Linked DNA regions of Tribolium castaneum. The protein of the gene in region 1 interacts with the protein of each later gene in a pairwise test. Links are inferred from orthologs where the notes say so. Each region holds a gene or a part of one and is shown on either strand. Other genes may lie near its edges.

Region 1 (4,496 bases):
TAAAATTTTGACTCTGAAACCAGATATTTCAAATTTTTAAACTCAAATGTTTAATACCAACTAAATATTTTATATTTTAAATGTGAACTTTAACTTAAGTAATAAAAACTTGAAATTTTTGTTTTTTATTTATAAATTTAAGTGCCAATACTAATTAGATAACTAAAATTTTATTTGTAAATGTATATTTGATAAAAGAAGTTGGAATTATAAATTTTGAATATAAAATTTTGACTTTGTGACTTGAAATTCGCACTTTGTTACACGAAAAAAAAAATAAATTTTGAAATAGACAAAAATTACAGCAAAAGTTTTCTGGTTTTAGGAATTGAAATTCCGAATTTTGTGTTAAATATTTGCTAGAAATTTTAATATATTTCAAGTGTCTCTAAACCTAAACTTGGAATTTTAACTTGAATTTCCTCAAAATCAAAAATTAACTTCTTTTTTGACTAATTTCTATTCCAAATTTTGTCTTGAACTTTGCGAAAACTTCTGAGAAATTTTGATAAACTCTGACAGTGTCACTTAAAAGTTAATAACCATTTGATCTTAATATTGAACCAAATGCTCGAGAGGCGGTTACCACGTCATAATTTCAAATTTAAATCCAAATAACTTGAGTTAGAAAGCAGATACAGAGAAACGGTTTTCACTATTGTAATAAGCGTTTTCAGTACTATCATTTAAGGCAAAGTTGTTTTAAGTTGCCAATGCCTTTAAATTTTTATTTTTAAAATTTTAAATCTGGGGTTCTGAAATTTGAATTTCTAATTAGGATATAAAAATTCTAGTCGATATCTACGTGAATATTTGACAAAAAATTTCAAAACCGTAAGATATCCAAAGTTTTATGTCTAAAAATACTAAAAATTTTAGCTTTCTGCATTGAAATTTGAAGTTTTACCATTGTATTGAAAAACTATTTTTTTTAATTGTAACTTTGATGTTCGGAATTCAGTTTTAAAAGGCAGAATTCTAACTTAGAATTTGTGAATTTTGAATTTTCATAAAAACTTTAAAAAAGTTTGAATTCTAACTTTGTGTCTAGAAATTTCGACTGTCTGAAGTTAAATAAATCGTAGTCCTGATTAATAAATTTGTAAATGTAAATAAAATGTAAAAAATGCATTTTTTCGCTTTGTTCGTGCTTGAAAATTCGATTGTGAAACTGAAATTTTCTTTAACAAATTTCAAGACCGTTCGGCACGCAATAAATCCTTCCCGCCCTTTCGATTTATAATCCTGAAACACCTGAAAAATCCCCGAACAATATCTTTTATCGCTCTTCAAACAGCAATCATCAATCACTGAAACTAATGCGAACACGTGGCGACATCCGGAACTTTAGGAATTCTCCACCTATTTTAAATCCACTGCTAGAATTATTAATGAGACAAAAATTCAATTTTTTTTGTCAAGGCAGTCGTAACAAATCGATCGGGTCACATCCTGAATTAAATCCTGCAGGATCCCGAAGCGATCCGACCTGGTCCTGGCCGCTTATCCTGTCCGACTTCCTCCGACATCCTCCGAAATAATGATCTGGTTGTGCTTCAGTCGGGGATGCTGGATGGTGGTCGAAGGGGTGTGTTTTGACGTCGTGTACATATTGAGAAAAAAACTCGATTTTTACGTTTTTTTCGTTCACAAAATCGGCCTATTTTTGCAAAATGCGCTTAAACAAATTTAGTGGTTGAACAGGATGTCGTGGGAATCGCTCAACTCGCACGACTTCACCAGGTAGTGGTATTTTGGCAATTACGCCCCTATTTGTACACAAATTCAAGCAGCTTTCTTGCGCAAATTTCTTTACTCTATTTCAAGAATTTGCCGATTGGATAACGTCGGTGAATTATTTCGGAAACAGCTGTTCTAGTTTTTCGATTTTTTTAAACAGTGGCGGCTCGCTAGGTAAAGTAATATTAATAAACTGTAACAAGCACTTAACATGTTTAAATCCTTAATTTTTTTGTTTCGTTACTTTCTAAGAGACGTCTCAAAGTAAAGTCAGTTTGTATCTGAATTACAAGCAAAGTTTGCAAACTAAGGGACTTTTCAACTAAAAATAAAATAAATTGCAACATATTTGATAATTTTTTGGCGTCTTACACGAAATTTTACGAAGGAAGTTTTTTTCTCAAAATATGAGTTACATCACTTTGTAAATACACTGTGTTTTTAAATGGTTCTTATCTAGTCGTCTGTGAAATTCTTATGTAAAATCAGAAAATGCCGCTTCATATAATTAAGGATAGGCATTTAGACATCGAATATTACCATTTTCCATTTACAAGTCTCCAATTCGAAAATAAGCTTCGATAATAAAAGTGTAACATTTTAAAGAAATTTTTAAAAGAAATTAATAAAATTTTACAACTGATAGATTTGACATCTATTAACAGAGGGTTCAATTAAGCAGAGCGGCACAAATTTTTTTTTACATCTAAACCAATTAACCAAGTTAACTAGATGAGAATCATTTAAAAACACATTGTATAGGTTCGAGAAAATTTACTTTTGATTTATTTTGGCCATTTTTGGCAAAATTTTGGACGGAAATGGTGTTATAGCATTTTCAACCTTCTCTTTGTGGTTTTGTTTTTATTTTAGCTAAATAAGTGAATTTTTGTCTGAAAGACGTGGTAACATTTATTTTCAAAAAAGGAAATCGTTTAATGTTATTTTTCACAGTTATTATTGATTAGTACTGATGGTAATTTCTCGACTTATGTGACTAAAAAATGGGAGTTGTTGAATGAAAAATATGTAAAAGCATTTGAACCAGGCAAATATACAGTGTATCCGTTTTTCGAGCTCTACCATGGGGATCACAGTTATTATAAGAGTACAAGGTTAGTTAAATTAGGGCAAAAATGCGCATTTATATGCTGAACAATTATCTCAAAGAATATTTGATGAGTTATTTTTAGTTTTTGAATTATTGATAAAAGTCAAAATTTTGCAATTTTCGTGTTTATTGTTTGACGCGAAAATTGAAAGAACTAGACATTTTTAAGTAGGACATTTTTCAGGAACTTGGTTACTACAAATCTAAATCTGTCATTATATTTTCCAAGGCGTTCTTGATGTCAGAGTTACAACACTCAACTTTAGTTTTTGTTATGGACACCATATTTGACACTTGTATTTTTGAATAGGCTTTTTCTTCCTTCTTCCTGATTACAACATGATATGGTCTAATCTTACATGTTAATTAAAATTAAGAAAAAAGCGTTTTTTGCACATCGTTGTAATCAGGAACAAATAAAACACTTTTTAAAAATACAATTATCAAATATAGCGTTTATAAGAAAAACCAGAGTTGAACCTTTGATATCAAGAACGCCTTGGAAAATATGATGATAGATTTAGATTTCTTGTAAAAAAGTGCCTGAAGAACGTCCTAGTTAAAAACGTCTGGTCTTTTGGTTTTCGCTTGCAAAAATGAAAACAAAAATTACAAATTTTCGTGTTTTTTTTTAATAATCTAAAAACTAAAAATGATACATCAAATTTTCTTGCAGATAATTGTTCAGCATGATAATGCACAACGTTGCCCTAATTTAACCGACCTTGTTTGTCTTATAATAACGGAGATCTCTATGGTTTGAAAAACGGATATTTAGATGTCCCAATATTAAAAAAAACACTAACGTTACGTTTTTCCAAATGGAACACCCGATATTTTATTGCATTTTGGATGTAGCTTTTAATACTGATGATTTTAATTTAAACTTGTATTGGTCGATTCTGCTTAGATTTCGAAATAATTTGATGTTTTTTGCCAAAAACACGTTTTATTTAAAAATTTATTACATAAAAACAAAGAATTCTATTAAAGTAGAACTTTGATCACTTTAAAGGGAAAAGTTCAAACTTAAATCTGTTCCAATTAGTTTAGCGCATTACAATTTATTGGAAACAGAAAAATTAAGAAGTTTGTTAAAAGTTGAATAACTTGAAAAGGTTAAATGGAACACCCTATTTTTTGTTCTTGCTTTTCAAAGATTATTAAATTATCTATCAAAAAACATAAAGTTTTAAATGTCTAAAGTTAATAACTAAAGATATGTCACTTTAAAAGTTATTTCTAGCAACAATGCAGACTATTCATGAACATTGTTGTAACCATAGCAACTCCAGCACAGACCATTTGTTGGAGTTTATACGGGAATTTAAAAATTTGCCATAGATATTAAAATTTTAGTTATTTCATTGTAATAAATGATGAATAATAGAGTAACATTAAAGTTATTATTAGCAGAAAATTTCACTTTTCGACTACAAAAAAAATAATATATTCTTTAAGATTGAACTTTCTTCTTTAAAGTGGTGAAAGTTACTACAACTTTTCTGAGATTTTTAGTTTTTATATGTTTTTTCAGATAGCGTGCTTTTGTCAAAATATCAAATTATTTTAAAAACATAAAGCAAATTCGACTAATAACAATTTAGCTTAAAAATATCACTGTTAAAAGATACATTCAAAAGTG
Region 2 (4,351 bases), on another chromosome or scaffold:
TTAATGTTAAAATATTACCGGACATAATCACGTCTTTCACTTTTCAAACAATTGATATTCTCATAATTCATGGAATTATGAATTTGTATAAAACGCTGCAACAAGAAAACCTTGACATTTCTAATTTATGTACAGTTCACGACAAACCAAAATAAAATTCAGATGCCCTTAAGACCTCCCCGATAACAATTTCCATGTGCACATGAAAACAAAAAGTGAATCACTTCAAAAACAATAATAAATCACTGATAACAGTGATATGTAATTCTTAAGCCTTATCTTTCACTCGATCAGCAAAAGAAACACAAAGAAAATTAAAACGGCCGGAAACACATTCGACTTTCCCATGAAATTACCTTTTGTTCTTACCCACCCGGAGCTAAAAATTTGCAATTCCGACTTACAAATCCCTTAATCCCCCCACGCCGTCGCGACGCTAATCGCATTATTAAACAACCGCACCGAAAATCAAATTTCCTTATTATCGCTATACAAACAATCGGTAAACACACACGTTTCTCTCAACCTTGGTCCATGAAAAAAGACGGAATTGTACAATTTTTTTCACGTGAAATTATTCAAAAATCACAAACATCCACGGTCAGCGCGCTTGCGTCATGACCACTGCCGGATTTTTTTTTACAAGTGGGAGTCCGAGCTCTAATCCGTGTGGAATGCGGAGCAGCAGGAAACGAGATTCTCTTATCTATTTATCAAATGTGAGACAAGACATAAATATTATGCGGACGGCTGTGTTGCGATTACATTATTTAGTGACACGACAACGAGGAAAAATCTCCAAGTTGACTGTAAATTGATTTGGGCGCTTTGTTTACATGACAATTACGTGACGAGAAAGCTTTTACTTACCCGGGGAGGTCAGTAAACAGTAATTTCTCGAGGGACACACAATGCTATGTTTACACACTCCTATACACGAGCATACTCTGAATTCTGATTGGATCGGTTTGACACATTCCGATAGGACTTGGGCGAGCTTTCGATTTGAAACAGCAAGTGCCATCTTCTATTTTTTTACTAAAGCTATGCTACAGAGTTCTATTCAGGCGCGCGGTCTAAATATATCGTAAAATACTGGATAAAAAAGGGATTTTGGGGCAGAATAAATATCGATGTTTCTATTGTATAACTTTATTCAATAATAATAATAAAAAAAAAGAAATCACTGGCCATTAATAGACGCCCTCGGTGTAATTCTGCAGCACCTTCATGAGCGGTTCATAGACTAGTTTGGCGGCGTGTTTGCCAAATAAAAAGTCAACGTGATTAAAACTTTGTAATGGTACTTGATACATCCCAACGTTGTTTGTTAAATTCTGAGACAACCTAATTACGTCCTGAAAAAACACCATTACTCAAAAAAAAAATTACCGAATGCACTTACAATATAACTCGCTAGAAAATCATTAAGTGCGTACATTAGATACGTCTTAACTTTAATATTGAGTAATTTATACTGGGGTGGTGTTAGAGTCCCATATTTAATTTGATTACCATTGGGCCCATAGTCATACTGTTGGAACTTTCCGTCATATTTGATTTCCTGCGCGTAATGTAGGACTGTTTTGGTGGAAGATCCTGCAGGATCATGACTCAAAACAACCGGCAAGAGCTCCTCATTGAACTCCTCTTTATCAAAACCACACAAAGTGAAAATAACGTCTTCGCAAATTTCCTTATCGATTTTCAACAACTCGCAATCGTACCCCAAAAACTTCATTATTTTACTGTTGGGCAGAAATTGATTCAGACCCAAATATCGCGCCAGCCATTCGAAATCGTAAGCAAAGGGCGACAAATACCGAATTGGGGACTTCACATGCGTCATATAAGCCACCGGTGCTAGGGCTACCATCAGTTTTACGTTTTTGGCGGCTTGTGGTTTAGTTGAAGCCAAAACGAAAAACATTGTGGTCCCCATCGAGTGCCCCACGTAGATTATTTCGCCCGGTTTGTTTGTTGTGTTACTGACGTAGTAGAGTGCAGCTGGGAGATCATAAACTCCCATCTCGTGCCAGCTAAAGTTCCAATATTGGGGGCTTTCGATCGGTAGAGTAACATGAGCTTTGGAGTAAGTGTTACCTCGAGCGTTACCCATCCAGACGTCATACCCGGCATCGGCCAATATAAAACCTTATGAAACCGTAACTCTTGGATCAAAAATCTGAAAGTACGAACCTAGGGAGTTATTCCCTGCCGTTATCCAATCGGCGCTACTCGAAAGCAGCCCGTGTTGGAGAAAGACAGGTTGGCCCCCACGTTGGCCGCTCTTAGGCCCTGGGATGCGATGAATTGTGAGGATGTAGCCGTCTTCCGTTGTGACGTAGTGAGATTCGGCCGGATAGCCATGTCTTCGGGCGATTTGGGGCTGCGGGCGTTTTAATTGGTGTTAAATGACGGGATTACTACTTACTGTATCTAAATCGGCGTCCGGATTGTAAGGACAAGCCGAGAGGTTTTCAAACGAACATTTGACACTGTTTGTAACGTTTTCACAACGAAAAATTGGTAAAAATAGGACGAGGAGTAAAAATCGATGCATCGCAAAGACGATGACAATTAACCTAAACTTTGGACGCAACAGAACCAGTTTTACGGTTCAAGTCTGCCAAACTGAATAGCTAATGAGTTTTTTCAATGGTTTAAAATAATTCTGCATTTAAAAACGATAGCCCCACGTGAGTCATGCAGAAGTGTAATTTCATTGGTTTTTACTCACCAAGGCCGCTCTATCACTGACGTGAGGTCCAAAGTCGGGAAAATCACTCTATTTGTTGTGATTAGCTAATTTTCGTTAAACCTTTATCTATTTTTAAACAAACTAAAAACACAATTGTGACTTGGTTTGAATTTTGCGCCGCCATTTTTGTTTGGTGATTTCACGGTAACTTGATGCATTTACTTCAAAGCAAAATGCAACTTAAATCATACAGTAAGAGAGACTTAAATTAATGCAGTTAAATTACAATTACATATAATTATCTTGTGCACGTCGATGGATCGTTTCAGTTTCACTGGAATAATCTCAAAAATTGAGTTTTTGTCAAATTAAAAAACCAGATTTTGAATCCTCATGTTGGCGATATGGGTGTTTGGCGTCTGTCGAATGTCAAAATGCTTTTTCATCAATAACAACAATGTTTGTATCGTGTTTTAAACATTAAACGCATTGATTATTCAAAAAATGGGAAGCGAAAAGGTATTTCCACCCCTTTTCCCTAAAGCAACTCCTGCATGTTGCAATTTTTCCCGGTCGTTTATAACCTATACAAACAACCCCTTTCTAGCTCTTGTTCCGCTTGGAACAGCCCCATGGCACCGGTGATATTTACACGACATGGCAAAATGGCTCTGGCATGTATCTTGCAACGACTGGGATCGACTGTATGGTCAATATTTTCGACCGTTATGGACAAATCCAGGACCGTATCCGCTTGCCCAGGTGCCCCATTCCTTTCAATTTTCCATTTAATTAAACCCAAAATTGCAGTCTGTGCACCGGTTTTGGGTGGGACTCGGACGGTGATCTCTTGGCGGTAATTTGCCAATCACCTCAACTCACACTGTGGGATGCAAACACCCAGAAAAAGATTCAAATTGATGTGAGATTGAAGGACCAAATGTCGTGCGTGATTTGGGCCAAGACCGCCCCCATGCTGGCCGTGGGGACGGTCAAAGGAAACATATCTATTTATAATCACAACACATCAAAGTTAGTTGTTTTTTTGTTGTTTGTTTTTTTAATTGTCGGTTCTAGACGCACTCCTGTTATTGGCAAGCACGCGAAAAAAATCACGTGTGGGGCTTGGAACACGGAGAATTTGCTCGCACTAGGGTCTGAGGATAAAACAATTTCTATCAGTAATGTAGACGGGGATACGCTCAGAGTGATCAATTTGCGGGCAGAGCCGTCTGAAATAAATTTTTCGGAAATGAAGCTCGACGAGCGCATGGGGGGCGAAAACACTGTAATTTTTTCAAGTTTCCGCTGATTATTTCGCGTTAATTGTTAATTCCAGGTCAGCGTAATTGTGGGAAAGCGCACTCTCTATCTTTACAATTTGTTAGACCCTGACAATCCCATTGAATTAGCATTTCAGCAGCATTATGGCTCTATTGTTACGTATAAGTGGTTCGGAGATGGTTATATTTTAATCGGCTTCAACGCCGGTTATTTTATTGCCATCTCCACCCACATTAAGGAAGTGGGCCAGGAGTTATTCCAGGTCCGGAATCACAAAAACACCCTCACTGATATTACAATAAACGACAAAATCGGAAAAGCCGCATCTTGTGGCGATAACAAGTATTAATCCAACATGGCAGGTCA

What was found.
Region 2: the proteins of 43 kDa receptor-associated protein of the synapse homolog (region 1) and guanine nucleotide exchange factor for Rab-3A interact in a two-hybrid assay, tested with the Caenorhabditis elegans proteins (2 studies listed by BioGRID). The link is inferred for Tribolium castaneum from reciprocal best matches to the Caenorhabditis elegans genes rpy-1 and rabi-1.

The regions. Positions count from the first base shown.
Region 1 is NC_087401.1:7,884,148-7,888,643, forward strand, and holds the start of 43 kDa receptor-associated protein of the synapse homolog, read left to right. Parts: upstream 1-1,543; 5' UTR 1,544-1,705; coding exon 1,706-1,746; intron 1,747-4,496.
Region 2 is NC_087402.1:3,494,749-3,499,099, reverse strand, and holds the start of guanine nucleotide exchange factor for Rab-3A, read right to left. Parts: upstream 2,887-4,351; 5' UTR 2,741-2,886; intron 2,709-2,740; exon of another isoform or gene 2,564-2,708; coding exon of another isoform or gene 2,435-2,563; intron 2,390-2,434; coding exon of another isoform or gene 2,200-2,389; intron 2,155-2,199; coding exon of another isoform or gene 1,406-2,154; intron 1,359-1,405; coding exon of another isoform or gene 1,194-1,358; exon of another isoform or gene 1,137-1,193; intron 1,017-1,136; exon of another isoform or gene 871-1,016; intron 1-870. Other genes in the region: lipase 3, read right to left, coding at 1,194-1,358, 1,406-2,154, 2,200-2,389, 2,435-2,563; Oseg6 (WD repeat-containing protein 19), read left to right, coding at 3,206-3,220, 3,309-3,463, 3,512-3,989, 4,041-4,327.